2 linked regions of the Elephas maximus indicus genome follow. The main gene of each other region encodes a partner of the protein of the gene in region 2 in a complex. Links are inferred from orthologs where the notes say so. Each region holds a gene or a part of one and is shown on either strand. Other genes may lie near its edges.

Region 1 (11,542 bases), on a different chromosome or scaffold from region 2:
ACACAGCCATAGGATGGGTTTTCACAGCAGTTGAATCCTAACAAACAACTATCGCTTCAAAGTTCAAAGGAAGGGGGAAAAAAAAAACTGCATTCACTAGAAAGGGTTTAGAGAAGTGGGTTCATTCATCCTGGGCAAAGGGAGTGGCACACATAAAGTACTTTATATTTCTACTAGATCTATTCTTTGGTTATTTGCATATACAAAAAAGTATTTATATTGCAGCTAAGTACTAAGCTAGTACTTAAGAACCTTTCATTACATTCACTTATAAATTGCAAATAAACTCCAAAACATAGGCTGTTTTGGTCAAGAAGTTTAAAAATGAGTCTTTATATAAATAACTATTACAACCCAATATCAAGAAGACAAACAACCCAACAAATAGGGGGAGAAAAATTTGAACAGACACTTCGCCAAAAAAAGATATAACTCGGCAAATAAGCATACAAAAAGATGCTCGAACGTCATTAGTCATTAAACACTCTCTCTCAAAAAAAAAAAAAAAAAAGTTGCTGTCTAGTCATTCTGACTCATGGTGACCCCTCTGCTTCAGGGTAGAACTGTGCCCTCCATAGGCTTTTCATGGCTGTGTCCTTTCAGAGGCAGACAGTCAGGCCTTGCTTCCGGAGCTACCTCTGGGTGGATCTGAACCACCAATCTGTTGGTTAGTAGCCAAGGCTTAGCATGACTCCTATTGGTCATGAGGGAAGTGTAAATCAAAACCACAGTGAGATACTATTACACACCCACTGCTGCTGTTGTGTGCCATGGAGTAGATTCCTACTCACAGCAACCCAATGACAGAGCTGCCCCATAGGCTTTCCTAGGCTGCAAATCTTTATGCAGATCACCAGGTCTTTTCTCCCAGGGAGCGGCTGGTGGCTTTGAACCACCAACCTTTTAGTTAGCAGCTGAGTGCTTAGCCACTGTACCACCAGGGTTCCTACATACCCACTAGAATGGATAAAATCAAAAAGACTGACTGGTAATACCAAATGTTGGTGAGACACAGAACACTGGAATCTTCATGCATTGCTAGTGAGAATATAAAATGGTACAGCCACTTTGGAAAACGGTTTGCCTGTTCTTATAAATACATACTTGCCATATGACCTGGTATATAATTCCTAATTATTTATCCAAGAGAAATTTAAAAAAGATGTCCCCATAAAGATTTGTACACAGATGTTCATAGCAGCTTTATTTATAATAGTAAAAAACTAGAAACAGTCCAAAGATCCATGTATTGGTAAATGGATACACAATGTAGCATACACAGACAATGAGGTACTACTCAGCAATAAGATATATGCAACATGTATCTCAAAAGCATTATGTTAAGTGAAGAAAACCAGAGACAAAAAGCTATGTGATTCCCCTTATATGACATTCTACTACAATGATTCTAGAAAAGGCAAAACTATAATGACAGAAGCAGATTAGTGGTTGCCAGGGGCTGGGGTATAGGAAGTGACTGAATGGAAAGGAGAGCGAAAAAACTTCACTGGGATGCTGAAAATGTTCTATACCTTGGTTGTGGTGATAGTTAGATGACCATATACTTCTATCAAAATTCACTGAACTATATACATAAACTGGGTGAATTTATTATACATAGATTTTTTCCTCAAAAAAGCTGACTAAAGAAAAATAAGTTTTTGCTGATAAGAGATCAATCCAGTATTTTCTAGACACTTAACTATTAAAATTCTTTTTTTTTAATTGTGCTTTAGATGAAGGTTTACCTGAACAAATTAGTTTCTCATTAAACAATACACCTATTATTTTGTGACACTGGTTGCCAACCCTGCAACGTGTCAACACTCTCCCCTTCTTGACCTGGGTTCCCCATTTCCATTTGTCCAGCTATCTTGTCCCCTCCTGCCTTCTCATCCTTGCCCGTGGGCTGGTGTGCCCCTTTAGTCTCATATACGTGGTTGAGCTATGTTTTTTTACTGTTTGTTTTATGGGCCTGTCTAATCTTTGGCTTAACTATTAAAATTCTGTAGGCAATTCCACCCTTTAAAAAAAAAAAAAAAAACAACTCCTGTGTGACTTCAGAATGAATAATAATAAAAGATTGAACAGTATTGGTTCATTAATTGTAACAAATGTACCATACCAATGTAAGGTGTTAATAACCAGGGAAGCTGGGTTTGGTGTTTATGGAACTCTCTATACTATCTTTACAATTTTTTTTTTTTTTCGGTAAATCTAAAATTGTTCTAAAAAATGAAGTTTATTTAAAAAAAGATTAGTCATTGAAAATGAGAACTATCTTCTTTACATGCCAAATCTCTACAGGAAAAGAACGTTACAAAAACTTCAAAATCTTTCCCCTGAAAATTGGATCTCGAGTTTCTTCAAAGGCTAAAACTAGAATGTACTCTGTTGGAAATGGGAAAACATTATTGAAATTGTTTGGCAATACAACATTTAAGCAGCACTTTTTTTTTATATATTGGTTTATTCTTAAACTTAGGCAGATTGAGATCAGAATTTTAAAATTCCTAACTATGAGGTTTTTTCATCCACAGAAAGGTGTCCCTTTGTAGAAACAGCTTCTTTGCCTTAGGGGCAAGTTCAATTATCATTACTACTTTCTCTTTTATAACAAATAGTTTTATTAACCAGCAGGCTAAATAAGGCTCAGAAGCAGTTGGCACTGTAGGTTTTTAAATTTTCCATCTCATTCCTTCCTTTTAAAATCAGAGCAGAGTCTGAGACTTGAACAGTAGAGGTGAAACTACCCCTGCAAAGACCTCTGTTGTTGTGTGCCATCCAGTCAATTCTGACTCATAGTGACCTACACTATAAGTAGAAATGCCCCATATGGTTTTCTAAGCTGTAATCTTTACAGCAGCCGATCACTTGATATCTCAGCTACTATAACAGAAATACCACAAGTAGATGGCTTTAACCAAGAAACTTATTCTCTCACAGTCTAGGAGGCTAGAAGTCTGAATTCAGAGTGCCAGCTCCAGGGGAAGAAGGCTTTTTCTCTCTCTGTCGGCTCTGGGGAAAGGTCCTTGTCTTCAATCTTCCCCCAGTCGAGGAGCTTGTCACTGCAGGGGCCCCAGGTCCAAAGGACGCACTATTCTCCTGGCTTTTGTTTCTTGGTGGTATGAGGTCCCCATGTTTCTCTGCTCACTTATCTCTTTTATATCTCAAGAAAGGTTGACTTAAAACACAACCTAAAATCTTGTAGATTGAGTCCTGCTTCATTAACATAACTGCCACTAATCCCAACTCAATATCATAGAGCTGTAGGATTTACAACACATAGGAAAATCACATCAGATGACAAAATGGTGGACAATCACACAATGCTAGGAATCATGGCCTAGCCAAGCTGACACAGATTTTGGGGCGGGGGGGTACACAATTCAATCTATAACACCTAGTGGGTAAGTATGGATTTGAACTACTGACCGTTTGTTTCGTTTAGCAGCTGAGTGCTTAACCTTTGCACCACCACGGCTCCTTACAAAGAGCTCTAGTAACACACAATTGAGTCATTTTGGGGATCACTAATTTCATCAATGTTCCCATTAAAACCAACTCTGTGTCTAGGTGCACAGCCTGATAAGATTCCTCAACTGGTTATCAAGCACATCTTTAACTTGTACTCTTCCATTTCTCCAAGGTATTTATGTTTGTTCTCATTACCTTACTAACAGAAGCCTGTGACCCTGCATTCTCATTGAAAATAATATTACAGCATTAGTATTTTCTATTGTTGTTTCATTAAGGGAATCAGGTCAACTGCATCAGAGACAATGGTGATAAAAATCAAAGCAGGATTAATTCTTATGAGACCAAAAGGAAAACGCTGCCATGTAGGATGGACAATGCTGATTCAGAAGAGTTAGTTAACAAAGCAATCTCCTTGACTGGTTCTGTACTGCACCAGCACAAAGCTTAATATTCAGTGACTGCTCATTATCATCCAATAAAAACAAGACTTTTTAATGTGTTCATTTTGAATCAAAGTATTAGGGCATGTGTATCAGAGAACAGAACACATCAAACATCAAAAAAAAAAAAAATTGCCATCAAGTCAATTCCAACTGATAGCCACCCCATAGGACACAGTAAAACTGTCCCACAGGATTTACAAGGAGCACCTGGTGGAGTTGAACTGCCGACCTTTTGGTCTTAACTAGTATGCCACCAAAACTCCAACTACCCATTAAGTAACTCCTGACATTAAGATTTGGGGCACTGAAGTCCCAACTGCTGATCAAGTTATAAAGAGATAGTTAGGAACCCAATACCTAGTTTGAACAAAGAAGAAAGAAAAGCATTGGAAGCTTTCTGGAATAGAGGTTTTTGTTTTTTTCTTCTCTTAGGGTCGCTATGAGTCGGAATCGACTCCATGGCACTGGGTTTGGTTTTTGTTTGTTTGTTTGTTTATCTTTAGTTAACTTTCCCATGTAGAAATATAATGTGTTTTTAATGTTGCTGCCTCAAACCTTTTTTTGGGAAGTTGCTAGTGAACTAAGTAGAAAGAAACTTTTAAACTTAGTCTAAGACTGAGGGAGGGGGAAGAGGGGGCGGAACAACTAAATGAATTGTTACATGTTTCATATTATGCACAAATCACTGGAACCAACTGTTGCCCACAGGACTAAGAAGCCCAGGTTTCAGATCCCAAGAATTAAATAGACAGAATTAACATTTTCGATATATTTTTTTAAGCATGCCAATTCAAAGACAAGTATAAGAGAAATAAGTTTGACTACATTTTCTTAACTTTCCCTTTCTCAAAAGTCTTCTAGAGGATAAAATTTCATTTTTAATTCCAGACTCCTTTATTCTAGCACTGTTTTAATGGACACTAAAGTAGTCATTACATCAAAGAGGTCATTTACACTTCAGGGAGTTTTGAAGCCATGCCTTAGCATCAAGTTTCATGACTGGCCTACAACAGCTCTGCCATATAGCAACAGGCAGGGTCCAAATCTCCTAGCTCCCAGTCTCAGTCCCCTGGTGCCTCCGTTCCCACCACCCCCCCCCCCCCCCGCCAAACTTTCTACTATTTATTCATTCAAAAATATGTACTGAGTACCTAGTATGTGCCTGGCACTGTCTTAGGTGCTTGGGGCATATCAGTGAATAAAACAAACACCCCTGCCCTCAGGGAGTTAATTCACACTGTGATACGCCCACTCTGCATAAACTCTAACAATAACAGCTTTATTACTTTTTATAGATGGTCTTTTCCTCTATTACAAATGTGTAAAAAAAAAAAAAAGTGGATTTCACAGCACACATTCTTCTGTGTAACTAAGTAATCTCTTGTATCAATGTCACACCATCCCAGCCCTGGGGGATTCCAAAGCTTAAAATAGACAAGCTCTCTCAGAAACCCCTGGTCGAGTTAGCAAATTTTCAGGCTGGAAACTTCATTGAATACCGCCTCCCTTAGCTCAAAAGCACGGGGTGAGAGGATTTTTCTCTTCAAAGACATGGCAGCAAACGTGGAGGAAGACACTCACTTTCAACGCCATCCTTGCTTACAACCGTTTGTCTACTTAGGCTCTTTACCCTCATCCTCAACCCCTCTAGCTGCTAAACAAAAATACCCAGGCTACTCCAGTTACAATCTTATATTTCACCTTTCAAAAGACCACCCACAGTATTCCACCAGCGACATTAACATCCTTGTACCACTTCCCCTCGCTGCCCCCGGGGCAATTCCTCAGTAGTAACTTTTTACCACAATAAAAATTTGTCCCACATTTCCTAACTGGCACGTCACAAATACACTTTGCCTTTGCTTCAAGGAGCTTTCACTTATCATTTGATCCTTAGAAAAACCCCGGGGGTGGGCAGGGATTGACGAATGTGATCATTCGAGGGGGAGGCAGCCTCTTCCTCCAGGCTGGGACAAGGGTGAAGCAAGTGGGGCGTTCTCAGGCACTCACCCTGCACTTGCACGACCCTGAGAGTGAGCGCCCCTTAATCCTGCGCCTTAGGCGCCTCACTCCTCATCCTACTCATGGTCCTGCTATTACTGCCACCCCTTCCTTTTACTGCCATGACCCCCCAAAGCCATCGCAAGCTGAACCCCTGTCACTGGCCCTCGTCGTGCACAGCCCCAGGTCCCCAGGAGACGACCCCGCGCTAAGGGCCCCGCAGGCGCCCCCGCCCACCCGCGCCGGCTCCGAGCTGGGACTCCCGCCCACCCGGCCCACCCGGCCCTCCAACGGGATTCCCCGTCCCGGGCCCGCCCCCGCCGCTCCTCCTCCCGGACACGCCACCCTCCCCGCCTCAGACGCCTCCTCGCCTGGGGCTCCCTCATCCCATCGCCCCTTTTCCCGCAGCCCTCGGAGCGGGGAGGGGGCGCCCCGGCACCCCGCCTAGGCAGGCAGTGTATCTCTCCGCTTCTTCCCAATTCCCCGATCCCTTCGCCTCTCCCCGCCTCAGGCTGGGGGCGACGAAGCGGGGAGGCCCGGCCCCACCGCCCGGTCCCGGCTTGTTTACTCACTCACCCTCCATCCTGAGCCGCAGGGACCCGCCGCCAGCGCGCCTGCGCGCCTCGGCCCCGCCCCCGCGCCGCGGCCCCGCCTCACGCCTCCTCCCGGCGCGTGCGCGTTGGGCCGGCGACCCGGCCGCCAGGGTTTCCTTCGCAAGTTTGCCCTTTGGCGCCAGTAGTCGGGAGTCCGGAACCCAGGGTGGTGCGGCGCGAGCGCTACGATTTCCAAGGCGGCCCTGTCAGGCAGAGGAAGGGCTCTGTGGATCTCTTTCTGAGTCTTGACCTTATCCAAGGGTTCCACCATCCCCACACTTTGGTGACAGCTATGTCTCACTTCGACATTTGAAGCCAACCTGGAGCCTCTTCGTACTGACCGCTTCACACCTACCTATGAAGTTCTAAGTTACTCTATAAGCTCTAAACTACCCTGTTGCTTTGTTTACACCTGACTTACCTATTTATGCAAATAGTTTTCCCAGTCACCTAAATTTAAAAATTTAGTATTATATCAAATTATCTCCTTACAAGATCCCTATTAGTTAAAAAGGAGAAAAAAATAGTAACTTTACAGGGGAGAAACCTAGCAGACACCACCTTAACTAAATGATCAAAGTTAACATTACCAATGTTGAGACTTATTCTTATCAGGTACCTTCCAGTATGAAGCACTGAGAAGGGTACAAAATCACTTCTGTAGTGTTCTTGCCAAAAATGCATAACCTGACTTTAATCATGAGGAAACACTCAAACTCAAATTGAGGAGTAATCTACAAAACAACTGACCAGCACTGTTCAAAAGTGACAAGGTCATGAAAGAAAGAAAGGACAAGAGACTGTCCCAGATTGAGGGAGACTAAGGAGACATGACAACAAAAGGTAATTTGTGACCCTGGATTGAACCCTGGCCCAGAAAAAGAACAGTAGTGGGAAAATTGTTGATATTAGAATAAGGTCTGTGAACTAGTTAATAGTATCTTATCAAGAGGTAACTTTGGTGAAGGGTAAGACAGTACACAATACTGGGGATACCAGAACAACTTGTACAAGGCAAGGTCATGGAAGCTCCATAGATACATCCAAACTCCCTGAGGGACCAAGTTACTGGGCTGAGGGCTGTGGGGACCCTGGTCTCAGGGAACATCTAGTTCAATTGGCATACATAGTTCATAAAGAGAATGTTCTACATTCTACTTTGGTGAGTAGCATCTGGGGTCTTAAAAGCCTGTGAGCAGCCATCTAAAATACTATACTGGTCTCACCCCTTCAGGAGCAAAGGAGAAGGAGGAAAACTAGAGACACAAGGGAAAGATTAGTCCAAAGGACTAATGGACCACAACTACCACAGCCTCCACCAGTCTGAGTCCAGTACAACTAGATAGTGCCTGTCTGCTCCGACAGGAATCACAATAGAGGGTCCCAGACAGAGCTGGAGAAAAATGTAGAACAAAATTCTAACTCGCAAAAAAAGACCAGACTTACTGGCCTGACAGAGACTGGAGAAACCCAAGTGTATGGCCCCCAGACACCGTTTTAGCTCAGTAATGAAGTCATTCTTGAGGTTCACCCTTCATCCAAAAATTAGACAGGCACATAAAACAAAATGAGACTGAAGGGACACGCCAGACCAGGGGCAAGGACTAGAAGACAGGAGGGGACAGGAAAGTTGCTAATAGGGAACCCAAGGTAGAGAAGGGAGAGTGTTGACATGTCGTGGGGTTGAAAACCAATGACATAAAACAATATGTGTGCTGTTTAATAAGATGCTAGTTCTGTAAACCTTCATCTAAAGTACAGTAAAAAAAAAAAGTATCATCAATGTTAATTCCTGGTTTTGATAACTGTACTATGGTTATGTAAGATGCTAACGATTGAGGAATTTAGGTGAAGGATATAGAGACACTTTCTGTACTATATTTGCAACTCTTTTGTAAGTCTGAAATTATTTCAAAATATCAAGTTAAAAAATTAAAATACAAAATAATATCTTGCATTTGCTTCCAACTGTACAATTACAAAAGCCTTTCATGTACATTTATTTTCAAATAATCTTCACCACAGCCCTATGAAGGAGATGAACGCATTTCAGTTTTACACATGAGATTGTTCTGGCACAAGAGAGTTAAAAGACCTGCCTTACACAGAATCTTAAACTCGGGTCTTTGAATTCCAGATTCAGTGTTCCTTCACTTGTATCAGAAACTTTGATCTTGCTGTTTTTCCCTCACTCCCATCTGATTAACTACCAAATTATGGCAAATATTCCTTCATATTTGCAGTTTCCATCCCCACTGCTTTTTAAATCAATGGTTCTCAAACTTGGCTTACACTGAAATCACCTGTTGTTGCTGTTGTTAGGTGCCGGTTGAGCTGGTTCTGACTCGTAGTGACCCCATGTACAACAGAAGGAAACACTGCCCGGTCCTGCACCATCCTCACAATCATTGTTATGCTTGAGCCCATTGTTGCAGCCACTGTGTCAATCCATCTCATTGAGGGTCTTCCTCTTTTTCTCTGACCCTCTATCAAGCATGATGTCCTTCTCCAGGGACTGACCCTCTTGATAGCACATCCAAAGTATGTGAGACAGAGTCTCGCCATCCTTGCTTCTAAGGAACATTCTGGTTGTACTTCTTCCAAGACAGGTTTGTTCATTCTTTTGGCAGTCCATGGTATATTCAATATTCTTCCCCAACACCACAATCCAAAGATGTCAATTCTTCAGTCTTCTTATTCATTGTCCAGCTTTCGCATACATATGAGGCAATTGAAAAAAACATAGCTTGGGTCAGGCACAACTTAGTCTTCGCTTTTCAACACTTTAAAGAGGTCTTTTGCAGCAGATTTACCCAATGCAATGCGTCTTTTGATTTCTTGACTGCTGCTTCCGTGGGTGTTGATTGTGGACCCAAGTAAAATGAAATCCATGACAACTTCAATCTTTTCTCCATTTATCATGATGTTGCTTATTGGTCCAGTTGTGAGGATTTTTGTTTTCTTAATGTCGAGGTGTAATCCACAGTGAAGGCTGTGAGCTTTGATCTTCATTAGTAAGTGCTTCAAGTCCTCTTCATTTTCAGCAAGGAAGGTTGTGTCATCTGCATAATGCAGGTGTTACTTCATCTTCCTCCAATCCTGATGCCCCGTTCTTCTTCATAGAGTCCAGCTTCTCAGATTATTTGCTCAGCATACAGATTGAATAGGCATGGTGAAAAGATACAAGGCTGGTGCACAATTTTCCTGACTTTAAACATGCTCTATCCCCTTTGTCATGGATTGAATTGTGTCCACCCAAAAATATGTGTCAGCTTGGTTAGGCCATGATTCCCAGTATTGTGTGGTTGTCCTCCATTTTGTGATTGTAATTTTATGTTAAGAGGATTAGGGTGGGATTGTAACACCACACTTACTCAGGTCACCTGCCTGTTCCAGTGTAAAGGGAGTTTCCCTGGGGTGTGGCCTGCACCACCTTTTATCTCAAGAAATAAAAGGAAAGGGAAGCAAGCAGAGAGTTGGGACCTCATACCACCAAGAAAGTAGCACGAGGAGCAGAGCACATTCTTTGGACCTGGGGTCCCTGCGCCTGACAAGTTCCTTGACCAGGGGAAGATTGAGGACAAGGACCGTCTTCCAGAGCCGACAGAGAGAGAAAGCCTTCCCCTGGAGCTGGCACCCTGAATTTAGACTTTTAGCCTTTTTTACTGTGAGGAAATAAATTTCTCTTTGTTAAAGCCATCCACTTGTGGTATTTCTGTTACGGCAGCACTAGGTAACTAAGACACCCTTGTTCTGTTCAAATGACTGCGTCTTGATCTGTGTACAGGTCCCTGATGAGCACAATTAAGTATTCTGGAATTCCTGTTCTTCACAATGTTATCCATAATTTGTTATGATCCACACAGTCAAATGCCTTTGCATAGTCAATAAAACACAGGTAAACATCTTAATAAATACCGATGCCCAATTCCCACACCCAGAGAGTCTGATTAATTGATCTGGGGGATAGCCTGGGCTTCAAGAGTTTTAAAAGCTTTCCAGGTGAGTTTAATGTGTAGGCAAGTTTTAGAACTATTGTATGTACTGCATAAATAATTGCTAAAAGAAAGGAAGAATGTGGGTTATTTAAGAAGAGATATTCAGGAGATCTGGATGTCAGGAGACAGGCTGATGAGGAATTTGGGAATCATCAGTATTTTGATGGTAACTGAAGCCATGGAAGCAGACAACATTGCCTTAAAAGAGTATGTCAGGCAATAAGAGGAGAGACACTAAGAAGTTTTGAGATAACAAGGAAAGTATGCTTATAGAAGTCCCCGAGTGGTACAGTTAAGCGCTAGACTACTAGTCAAAAGGTTAGCAGTTTAAACCTACCCAGAGGTGACTCAGAAGACAGGCCTGGTGATCTGCTTCCAAAAGGTCACAGCCTTGAAAACCCCATGGAACAGTTCTACTCTGCACATAGAGGTCTACTCTATTCCAGTTTCCATGAGCCAGAGTCACCTGGACAACAATTGTTATGGAAATATTTGGAGGTAGAAAAGAAGGAAAGTGAGATTTGGATTTATTTAGGTCATTCTTACAGCCCAGCTCCAGCTCCACCACTTCATTAAGCCTCACAGCCCTCATGGATCTCCTGGGTGCTTCCATTTCAGTCCCACTTTACATCTGTATCCTTTCATATCTGGCACAGGACTGAACACAGGGCTCAGTAATTCTTATTCACTAAAGGTTTATGAAAACAACCTTCTGCATTACCAATAAGCTTAGGGTTCTTGGGGAAAATTTGTTTGCCTGTTGCTTCCTTCACATTGTGATGGGAGAACGTTTTTCTTGAGACCAGACTCTTTCTTAGTTGACTGAGTTCCATGTGGCACTAGCAGCCAATCTTTGTTTGGCTACCTCTTCCCTACAATTCTTTTTGTTTTTCAGCCCTTCAGGTCTTTGTCCTGTAAATTCGTAGAAAAGCTGTTGGCCAGATGTCAACAACTGGACCTTTGAAAAACAGTACCATCACCCCTGCCCCACTCCTTTGCACCCCACCCCTAGGCAGTTAATGGAAAA
Region 2 (11,542 bases):
GCTGCTAACCAAAAGGTTGGCAGTTAAGAATCCATCAGCTGCTTCTTGGAAACTCAATGAGGCAATTCTACTCTGTCCTATAGGGTCGTTATAAGTCGGAACCAACTCTATGGCAACAGGTTTTTATTTTTATTTTTGGTAGTACCTATTATGGAATAGGTACTGTTCTAAGCCCTTTACCTATATTAACCCGTTGCCGTCGAGTCGATTCCGACTCACAGTGACCTTATAGGTCAGAGTAGAACTGCCCCATAGAGTTTCCAAGGAGCACTTGGTGGATTTGAACTGCAGACCTTTTGGTTAGCAGCAGTAGCACTTAACTACTACACCACCAGGGTTTCCTTTACCTATATTATTTCATTTAATTCTCAAAAAGATCCCAAGAAGTAAATACCACTGTTGTTACTTGCAGACCAATTGATCCCACAACCCCATGCATGCAGAGTGAACTGCTCCATAATGTTTTCAAGGCTGTGATCTTTTGGAAGCAAATCTCCAGGCCTGTCTTCTGAGGTGCTTTCAAACTGCCAATCCTTTGGCTAGTAGTCCAGTGTTTAACTGTTTGCACCATTAACATCTTCATTTTTCAGATAAGAAACCTGAGACGGAGATTAAGTACTCTTTGTATCATTATCATTCCCATTTTTTGAATAAGAAACTGAGGCAGAGGTTAAGTACCTTGCTCAAGGTCAAACAATCAATGAAGAGGATTTTTAACCCAGCATTTAGATCCAGTGTCTGTGCTCTTAACCACTAGTCTAATCTGTCTAGAGAAGTTTAAGAAAATCCAGGAAGTGTAACAGGCTCCAAGGGCTAGAATGAAGAGGGTCAAAAATGTTAGACCCCAATATATATGGGAAGCACAAACAGGAAAAAAAAAGATTTTAAGTAACATTCAACACCCAAACTTTTCCAAGAAACTTCAAGTCTAAGATCCTACAAGCTGACAATCCTAAAATATCTTTCTTCAACCTACAAAAAGAATCCTTTCCCACCTCTTCCGTGAAAATCTTGGTAATGACACCATGCTGTATATATGATTCAGGGGAGGCAGAGCCAACATGGTGCTATAGACAGAAGCAGCATGCCACGCCTCTGCAGCAAAGACCTGAAAAATGAAAAACTAAGTAAAACAGATACAAACATCAATCCTGGAACCCTAAGCATCAAATGAAGGAATAAAGAGCTCAAGCAAGCACCCAGTGGAGTAAGAAACTGACAGAGAACAAAGAACAAGGAGGGCTACGAATAGAGGTCCCCTTTCAGCTAACATAGTACGGATTTGCCATCTTGGACTACAGCCACCAAGGAACACAGACAAGGAGTATAGAAAGGCAACTTCGTGGAGAAAGAGCACCCAGTAACCAGGGATACATGCTTTCCCACCCCCCCACCCTTTTTCCCTGTACAAGGCCTCCATCGCTTTCCAATGGGCCACAGTGACTTGGCCGGTGACACACCAGCTCACTGCCACCTGGGTCCACCCCACCCCCATCAGCCAGCCCCCTCAGCGCCATTTTTTTGTTTTTAAGCTTTTTTTGTTGCCTTTCTCTCTCTCTCTCTCCTTTCCTTTCTCCCACCCAGCTAGCCTAGTGTGCCATCCCCTCCCCTTTTTCAGAGAACATGGTGCAGTGCCATGACCAACCAGCTCCTTCAGTGCCATTTTATATATTGTTTGTTTTTCTTTTTAGTTGTTTTTTCTTTCTCCCATCCACCAAGCCCCATGCACCACACCTCCCTTCTTGGTGGGCTGTGCTGTACCACTCGGCTGGAAAGCCTCTGACACACGGCCTCCCCAGGTCTGTGCCGCATTCACAGGCTGGCTCCTTCAGCACCATATTCTTTATTTTTCTTTATCTTTCCCCTTCTTCCTTTTCCTTCTCACTCCCACCTAGGCCCTGTGCTGCCTCTGCCCCTTCCTGACATGTCCAGAGTGAAACATCAGTTTGCCACCACCCCAATTCCACCTCGCCCCCAACAGCTGGCTCCCTTCCTACCATATTTTTGTTGTTGTTGTTGTTGCTTTTATTTATTTTTTATTTTCTTAACTTTACTTCTTTGTTTGTTGGTTTCTTCTCCCCCCCCCCCCCCTTTTTTTCCCTTTCTACCACCCACCTAGCCCCGTGCACCACCCATGCCCCTTTTCAACAGGTCAAGCTGCACCACTTGGCTAGAGAGCCACCAGCACATGGCCTAGCTGGGTCAGCTCCACCCCTACTCACCAAATCCTACCAGTCATTTTACTTTTTTCCTTCATTTTTTTGCTTTTGTTTCTCTCTCTCCTCTCTTCTCTCACTCACCCACTTAGCTCTATGCATCACATCCTCTCCCTCCCCTCCTGCCTACCTGCACTGCGCCCCTCCTGCCTACCTGCACTGCGCCCCTGAGCAGCACCAACATGATCCGCCCCAACCTCACCCAGCACTGCTCCCAGCCCTGCCTTGTAGTCCCCAGTTTGTGTTGCAAACTACCCATCCCCACCCCTCCACTTCCGCTGGACCTACCCTGATGCACCATAGCTGAGTGACCGGACCTGCTCACCTGGATTGGGTGGAAAGAAGTATCATGCCGACAGGTGAGCAAGTAACAAAACACTCCCAGCCTGCCTGCCCAGATGTAACCAAATAGAACAAAAAAGGGGGATGAAACAAACAAATCTACAATCAGTAAACTAAGAAAATAATTCCTGAATGTACAGGCCACAGCAGACAATATCAAAACACATTAAAAAACATAACTGGATGGCTCCAGAAAGCAACCAAAATAAAACACCAATGACCTTCTGGTAGAAGAAAAGGAACTGAAACTACCTGATAGGGAATTCAAAACTCTAAAATTCAGGGTTCTCCAAGAGATGAAGAAAATGCAGACAAAAATAAGGAAAAAATAGACAAAATCATGGAAAATATAGAGAAAAATCAGGGAAAACAAAGACAAAGCAATGGAAGAATTAAGAAAAATAAAGGAACAAAACATCAAAATAAACAGCTAGAAATCATTAAAAAAAAAAAAACAGCAATTAGAAATTCAAATGACAATAAGATTCCAGAAATGGACAATGCAATAGGTTTTAGGAGCAAATCTGAAACAACAGGAGATATGATCAGTGAAATCGAAGACAAATCTATGGACACCACTTTGAAGAAATATCAAAGAATGGAGAAAAATGAAGAAACCCTGAGAACGATGTGGGATACAATCAAAAGCAAAACTTTGCATGTGATGGGAGTTCCAGAACAGTGGGAGAAAATGGAAAACACAGAGAGGATCACTGCAGACTTGCTGACAGAAAACTTCCCTAAAGACGAAAAGCTGACCATACAAGAAGTTCAACAAACCTCATATTGGATAGACCCCAAGAGAAAATCACCAAGACATATCATAACCACGCTTGCTAAAACCAAAGACAAAGAACCCTAAGAGCAGTTCCAGAAAAACTAAGTTACATACAAAAGGGGAAGCAATAAGACTATACTCTGATTACTGGGCAGAAACTATGCAGTCAAGAAGGCAATGGAATGACATACATAAAACCTTGAAAGACAAACTGCCAACCAAGAATATATCCTGCAAAACTCTTGCTCAAATATGATGGCAAAATTAGGACATTTCCAGATAAACAGAAATTAAGGGAATATGTAAAAACCAAGCCAAGCTTACAAGAATTATTAAAGAAAGTCCTTCAGTTAGAGAACCAAAAATATCAGACATCAACCTGAATCTAGGACACAAGACAGTATCAGTCAGACACTACCCTAGGTAATGAACTCCCAAGGATAAAACAAAACTAAAAGATTTACAACACGGAGCCAGAGAGATCTGTAAATGACAATGACAGAACAATAAAAAAAGGGAATAAACAATACAGGTATAGAACTTCCAAATAGAGAGGACGTCAAGGCAATACCAAGTAATAAAAGACCGGTTTAAACTTAGGAAGATAGGGATAAATTTCAAAGAAAGTTAACAAACCTACTCATCAAAATAAAGAAAAAGAAAGTCTCCATATATATGCGTCAGTGTTTATGATATAGAATTTAGGAACTGAAGGTGTAAGATATAACAATTCCTAAAAAACTAGCCAAACTCAGAAAATGAAGAACTTACACCACCCAAGCATAACCCTTTAAAAATTCTTAACGCACTGAGAAATTATTATACTATGATAAGGAAGGGTTCATATTTTGCAGTAATAGCCTTGAATGAACAATCTTTTAGACATTTTAAGGAGCCCTGGTGGAACAGTGGTTAAGCACCTGGTTGCTAACCAAATAAATGGTCAGTGGTTCGAATCCACCAGCTGCTCTGGGGGAGAAAGAAGTGGCAGCAGCCATTGGAAACTCTATGGTGCAGTTCAACTCTGTCCTATAGGATTGCTATGAGTCGGACATTTTGCTGACCTTACTGGATATAACTTAGAACAAGAACCTGGTTTATATACCAGTATCTGTGTACCTGGTGAAGAATCAATTACTCCAAAATATCTATTGAACTTATTTTGCCACTTTTATAAAACCCAAGCGATTTGAAAGCACACTGTAGGATTGAAGGAGAAAAGGTCCATCCTTTCTCTAGTGAAAAAGGCTGGTACACAAACCAAAACAATATTAGGCTTTCCATGGGATCCTAAATAAATCTGAAACTTCCTTCTCTTGTTACCACCTGGAAGTTCCAAGTATATTTCACTAATCATCATTCACTTACTCTTACCTATACATTCATTTTTCAAAAAAAGAATTTTAGCTGGATTACTTGCAGAGTGAATTTCATTCTTCAATCCACATCTATTAATGTCAGTTCGGTTTTTACAGGCGAGTCATCTAAACACAGCTTTGTAAACTGTTGGGACTACATGATTACCAAGATCCATCTCAGAACTTAAACAAAAAAAGTCTGATTCCAAAGCCAATTTGCATTCACCACTCAGTTGCCTAAATTCTCTTAGGTCGTCCCGCTTATCTGAAATAACAACTTTCAAAGGAGAAACCATCCCTTCTCATTTCTTCCTCAAAGTCATTCCCCCTACACGTCAGAAGGTGACTCTCAATCTGCTTTTCCATCTCCATGAGCAGGACAGGAGCAGACACAAAATCCCCTTAAAAGTTACCCAAACCCAATAAGTCGAAGATTTATGCTTTCCATCCTGAAAATTCACAAGGGTCTATGAGTGACACCGTCCCCCAAGTCCTTAAGAGGCCCTAACAGACTATCCCCCTCTTTCCAACTCTCTTAAAAAATCTCTAACACGCCTTTTAAACTACTGGAATCTCAGATCCGCACTCTCCCAAAATCACCCGAAGGCCTAAACACTCTCCCTCCCGTCAATCATACACCAAGAGGATCTCAGAGCAGACCACCTCAGACCCTCTGCTCATCAAACAACCATTTAAATCACCCTCCTTCCCCACGTTTCTGTTTGCCCTCGGCCCCAGCTCAACATCCCCATAGAGACAAGTTCAATTTTCTCCTCCACGCCCGCGTTTTCCTGAGTAGAGGGTGACACCTCTCCCTCCACCCTACGGTTGCCCGCCCGCCCCAGCGCCTACAGTTTAAAAAGAATTTAAAACTTTCACTCCAGAGTACCGACCGGACTGCTCCGGGCTGCACTTACATTCTCGTCTCCAGAGAGGTCTGGGTTGCTGTTCTCGTCGCTGCTCAGCTTCTGCTTCTTGGCCGCAGGCATGTCTGTTCCCGCCGGTGCTGTCGACACTTCCCTCTCGGACATATTCCTCCGCCTCCCTCCAGGTTCCTGCCGCCTCGGGCGGGGCCTGCGCCACACCGCCGTCAAGCAAGCCCGGCCAGAGCTTGCCGTAAAGCTGCCACTGCCGCCGCCACCGCCACCGCTCCCCCCACTGTCGCAAACCGCGCCCAGCCGCCGAGGCGGGCGTGCGTGCGACCCCGCCACACTGCTGAAAAAGGGGCGCGCTCGCGCGCCCTCCCGCGCGGCTTTCTGGCTCCTTCCCTTTCGCTACTATCCTCTTGCCCTTTTCCCGCAGTCCTCTGGCAATTTGCACGGAGAGGTGTGATCCGTTGGCTTTCGAGGGCAGTATTTCGTACGTCCCCTTTACCACTCCCGCCTCGAAAAGGAGAGATGGAACTCAGAGGGATTCTCCCTCACTCTCTTTCTCCTTCCAAAGCCGTTTCAGCCGCAATTGGCCCAAACCTTCGATCCTCGACCCGCTGCAGGGGCTCGAAAGTATGTGGAATGGACTAGACCACCAATGTCCCAAAGGACGGGGGAAAACACGAGAAGTCACCTCTTGCTTCAGCGGCGTGTGCGAAGCATATCCTTAGTCATCAACTCGGAGGATAATTCTCTTATGGTTTTCCACGAAATCTTTCACAACTTAGTTTTCTTTTGGGAATAGATGTTCCAAAATTGTAGACAGCTTTCCATTCGCCTCCCCCGTCTAGAAATGGAAGTTACTAGCTAGGAGACGCGCATGCGCCGGAGCGTATTCTCGCGCTGGTCCATCCGGACCCGCCTCCTCTACACCCCTCCTCTTTTCGAAATCTTGTTTGTTGAACCAGGTAGAGTTCTAGTCGGTTTCCGTAGTCCAGGATGGATTCCAAAGCGCTACCAAGTCTTAGTCTCAGGATGCATTTTAAATTCTTGGTGGATATTTATTCTGATGAGTATTTATTGCGATGAATGCTTATTCTCACCCACTTGGTGCCAATATTGGTTAAGGCTTAAGTAGGAATATTCTGTAATCATAATATGATTCTAGACCTTCAAGAATTATAGCCGAAGCCCTCTTTTTAATTGCTGAAGGATCATTAAGGCCCAGACAACGCCAAGGCCCATAAATCAGTGGTCGCTTCCAACAATGGATGAGACTAAAACGACGGACAATTTTTTTTGGGGGGGGGGCACATCAGGTATAATAAAATTTTTGAGACAGCACTAAAACTTGTACTTCACCAAAATGCTTCTCTTATGAGTATTACCATATCTGGGCTCTTGACCGGTGCCAAATATATTGGTGAACTTTGCGGATTTGGTACATGGGTCATTAAGCCGCGTAACTGAATGAGCAGCAGGAAAAGAAGGATGACAGGAGATAAAATCTAGCCCCTCCCACCTTTTTTTAGAACATGGTTGTGACAAGTTATCTTTCTGTGACTCAGTGTCCTCATCTTTAAAAATAAAGGATACAAATTTTTTGAGCACGGACTTGATTTTATGTACATTTTCTCATTTTTTACTTTGTTACATCACCCAAAAGATTGCCAGTCTAGACTGCCCCTTCCATAACATTCTAGTATACGTGAATTACTTCTGCATGATGCTTTCACAGAGAGAAAATCAATTTCATTATCTGCAGGTTGCAAGTCACTGTTTTGGAGATAAGAAGAGAACTCCTGGTTGAGAATGAGAAAAGTGTGGTAAAGGCAAAATAAGAGGTTTTTGCAATGAAAACTCAGGAAAATAAGGAAGCTAAAAAAAAAATTAAGTTGAGATTTTAATAATAATAAGTGCAGTTATTGTTTGAATCCTAATGTGCCAGGTACTGCTAAGCACTCCTTAGTTGGTGAGAAGAGAGATGAGAGTGGTATGGAGTCAGCTACTGAGAAAGTAAGATGTGCAGAGACAAACATACTCCCCTTACCTGTTGGGAAGAATGTGAAATATATGTCTACAACTAAAGGATAATCAACTAAAGTATTTCAAATCCACATTACTCTGTGTCTGGGATCAATGAAAACTGGAACCTGGGAGTCAACTTCTAGTCATAAAATCAGAAAAGTGTTGAACTTCTGAATAATGGACACCTATGGGAGGAAAATGCCTTTCAGCATGAACATTATCTGTAACAAAGCAAAAATATTTTAAGTGTCTTATTAAAACTTGGAGGAATTTTTTAAAAATGTTCTGGTGAGTCAAGCATGATAAATGGAAATTACTTCATTAATATTCATTATTACTAGTTTAGGATATGTAAAATATCAAAGGTATTCTATTTAGAGTGCTACCCTGATGGTATTAAGTTAATATAATACGTTAAAGTAAGTTTCTCAACACTGAATTCTCTTACTGTGGAGGATCTCAGGAACCACCACAGTTGAAGAGGTCTTACCACCTGCATTTTACAAATGAGGAAACGGAAGCCCAGGGTGATTAAACACTTTACCTGAAAACACCTGGCTCTGCAAGTGGCAGGGCTGGGGAGCATATTCAAGGCTGGTTGACTCCAAAGCCTCAAAATGAAGGACCCAAGCAACTCTAGATTTATGTAATCCCATGCTGCAGTGGGATGCACAGAGCTTGATCTTTAGGCCAATGTCTTACACACTATTCAAAGAACATAAAAAAGGCTATCTCTCTTGGAACAGAAGGATGACATGACAGGAAAATCCAAATAAATTCTGGAGTTTAGTTAATAATAACGTACTATTTAAGTTTCTTAATTTTGACAAATGTACCAATGTAAAGGAGCCCTGCTGGTGCAGTAGTTAAAGCGATCAACTGCTAACTGAAAGGTTGGCAGTTCAAAACCACCAGCGGCTCCACGGGAGAAAGATGTGGCAGTCTGCTTCTGTAGAAGTTTACAAAGGGTTGCTGTGAGTGGGAATTGACTCCACAGCTGTGGGTTTGGTTTTGTAACATGTTAACAGCGGGGGTAACAGGTTAACAATAAGGCAAACTGGATAAAGAGTATACACAAATGCTATTCTATCTTTGTAACTTTGTAATTATCCCAAAATAAAAATTTATTTAAAAAAAAAAAAAAAGCTATCTCATGTTAGACTGTTGAACTGTTGAGAACTCTCATCAGAAATACCCCTTAGCTTTCAAGAAAGTGGTTGATCTATCTTGAAAAACTTTCAAAGATCATTTAGTTACATAAAAAAAGAGAACTCGCAACCTCCCTTAGTATTGTCTTCCAATATCTTGTAAGTTTCATATCAGGAAATGAGTTTCAAGAGCTAAATTAAATCTTTTCTATTTCAGTTGAAGTCTATTTCTCATTCATTCAACATTTTTTGTATCTTCTGCTTCATAAATAACAGCTGTTCATCACTCCTGCAATGTGTAATAATATGCTTACAGATCTATTTTTCTGTGAACATAAGATCATATGGCTTCTTTGAACATTTCAAAATCAATAAGGAGAAATTTACTGAATACTGTCTATATGCAAAGCAGTATCCATGGGGATGGAAGGTGGGGAGTAAAAGGGAAAGTAAGACAAAGTCCCTTTAAAAAGCCCTCTGTTCTTTGCCTACTGAGTACTACCTATGATTAATAATTCAGTTTTCTGGTTTCCTTAATAACAGCAAGGAAGTAACACTAACGGGTGGACATTCATATTCTAGTCACCTGAGAGGTGACAGCATAAGTTTAATACTTTGGCTTATGGCATATCAATAAGTGTCTTGTTAGCTGGGGAGGGACCAGATCATGAAAAGCCTTATGCCATTGATAAGCAGTGCATGACCGAAGAAGAGTTTTCACTTTGGCAGTGGTCAGGGTGTAAGAATGGAGGTAGAGAGATGAGTTCAGAAGCCATTGCAAAACTGCAGAACTGAACTAAGGCAGTGGCGATGAGGATGGACAACAAGGGGTTGTTTCCAGAGATATTTAAGAATTTCAACCAACAGGACTCAGTAACTCAAGCAACATGTGGGGTGGTGGGAGGTGGGCATAGAATGACTCAGGTTGATAGTTTGGCTGATTTCCTGAGTGATGTGATCTCTAAACAAGACAGAAGTTGAAGGAAAGAAGATGGGATTTTTAACTTTTGGTATTGAGCAGAAAGACATGATGTAATTTCACTTCTCCCCAAACTCAAGTACAGTCTTAGGAGGCAAGTGCAAAAGTCAATTGTCCATCATTAATTTAAGGGAGAAGTTAGCTTTTAAAAAACGAAAGTAATTCCAGTGTTTTGTGTTTAAAAGAGGTTTGTTTATTGTGCGCATTAAGCAAGATAATACATGTGCAAGAGCTTAAAACATGGATTACTGTGTGAAAAATTGTTGAATGATAAATGTATTTTGCTTTCTGGACAAAATAAAGGGTTGCTCTTGATTTAAAATCAGCAGCCTTGATTTTAAGAATAATAAGATCTTATCCACAATTTTTTCCTTACATAGTTTTTAAAAAGTATGAAGAAAAACATATGCTGACTATAAGTGACTTTCTTCTGAGACTTTCAGCACTCTTTTCAAACGTAAATCAAAACCAACAACGTTCCCACTCAAACACTAAGACAAAAAGTATCTAGAAAATTGAACCAAGAGGTAAATTTCATTGAACACTCACTATATGCCAGGCATGTTGTATGATTTATCTCATTTAATCTTCAAAACATCTCTGTTTTACAGATGAGGAAGTTGAGACAGAGAAATTAAATTACTAGTTCAAAGTCACAGAGGCAGTAAGTGATGGAACTACTAAATGTAATGCACACTGCCTAACTCTGGAACCGGAGTTCTTAATTCCTGCACTATATGGTTTTCCACTGAGCTGCCAACGTGTTTATCTCTGGGTTGGTGTACTTGTGTATTTCCTTTCGTTCTTTTTATTTTTCTGTATTTTTGGTAATAAGCATGTAATGCTTTTAGATTAAGAAAATATGTCATTTTGATTTAAAAAACAGATAAATATTTTAAATAGCCCAATTCTCATTCATTTCCTGAAAAGAATATTTCTGTATTTAATTTTGATTTTAAGTGTTAAGTATATTGTTGTTGAGGGCAAAGTCTTGTCTGGTGCATGGTACATTAAAAAAAAAAAAAATGCTTTCAAGTCAATCCCGACTCATAGCAAACCTACAGGACAGAGTAGAACTGCCCCATAGGGTTTCCAAGGAGCACCTGGTGGATTGCATGGTACATATTATGCACTTAATTCTCTGAAAAATAGACTACAATTATTGTCAAGTTAATTAACTGTCATTATCTAAGAATCTGGAATATTATAGATAAATGCTTGTTTATGAAATAAAACTGTAGGTGTCAAAGCCAGAGGAACAGGAGTTTTGGTTGTTTTTTTTTTTTCTTTTAAACATTTGTAATCTTTAAATTGTCTGAAAGATTGCTAATCAGCCAAAAGAAATTCATTACGATCCCTAAGTTAAAGCCAGTGCCCAAACAGTTCTGAGATCTGATGTTTAACTTAGAACTGTGAGGCTAGCCCTTTAGAATTGCAAAACTGCATTTTCAATTTCTTTGTTAACATTTGGCTTTCCTTTTTCCTGGGGAACATACTGGTTTGTTCTTGCATTATGTCTCAGGAGTATTAGCTTCTCAGGTTGGATTGTGCTGTTTTTGTTGGAATAAAACAACACCAGGGCAGTTTTTGTGTTGAAAGGATAATTACATAGATTAAATTACACAGATTCTGAAAAACAACATGAGGCACTTAAAAAAAAAAAAAAAAACCGCTAAAACAGTTTGTCTTTGGACCACTGACCTTGATACTAACCCACCAACAGTACATACTACAAAGGCAAGAAAGGAATATATTTTATGCAAAACTTACTTGGGTTGAAGCTATGTGTATATTTTAAAATGTGTAATGGAGAACCTTAAACAG

What was found.
Region 1: the proteins of EED (region 2) and EZH1 are in contact, whole or in part, in a cryo-EM structure (PDB 7KTP), measured with the Homo sapiens proteins. The link is inferred for Elephas maximus indicus from reciprocal best matches to the Homo sapiens genes EED and EZH1. Residues at the interface, in NP_003788.2 of Homo sapiens: Cys84, Val85, Asn86, Ser87, Leu88, Lys89, Glu90, Asp91, Trp103, His104, Ser105, Lys106, Glu107, Val112, Arg120, Leu123, Tyr124, Gln129, Gly130, Glu131, Ile132, Arg133, Leu134, Leu135, Gln136, Ser137, Tyr138, Val139, Asp140, Tyr154; in NP_001982.2 of Homo sapiens: Gly37, Ala38, Lys39, Leu41, Tyr42, Val43, Asn45, Phe46, Lys48, Val49, Gln50, Lys52, Thr53, Gln54, Leu56, Asn57, Glu59, Trp60, Leu63, Arg64, Val65, Gln66, Pro67, Val68, Gln69, Ser70, Met71, Cys83, Thr84, Ile85.

The regions. Positions count from the first base shown.
Region 1 is NC_064837.1:49,586,474-49,598,015, forward strand, and holds the start of EZH1 (histone-lysine N-methyltransferase EZH1), read right to left. Parts: upstream 6,585-11,542; 5' UTR 6,501-6,584; intron 1-6,500.
Region 2 is NC_064825.1:35,345,760-35,357,301, forward strand, and holds the start of EED (polycomb protein EED), read right to left. Parts: upstream 6,099-11,542; 5' UTR 5,726-6,098; coding exon 5,612-5,725; intron 1-5,611. UniProt on the Homo sapiens protein: Polycomb group (PcG) protein. Component of the PRC2/EED-EZH2 complex, which methylates 'Lys-9' and 'Lys-27' of histone H3, leading to transcriptional repression of the affected target gene.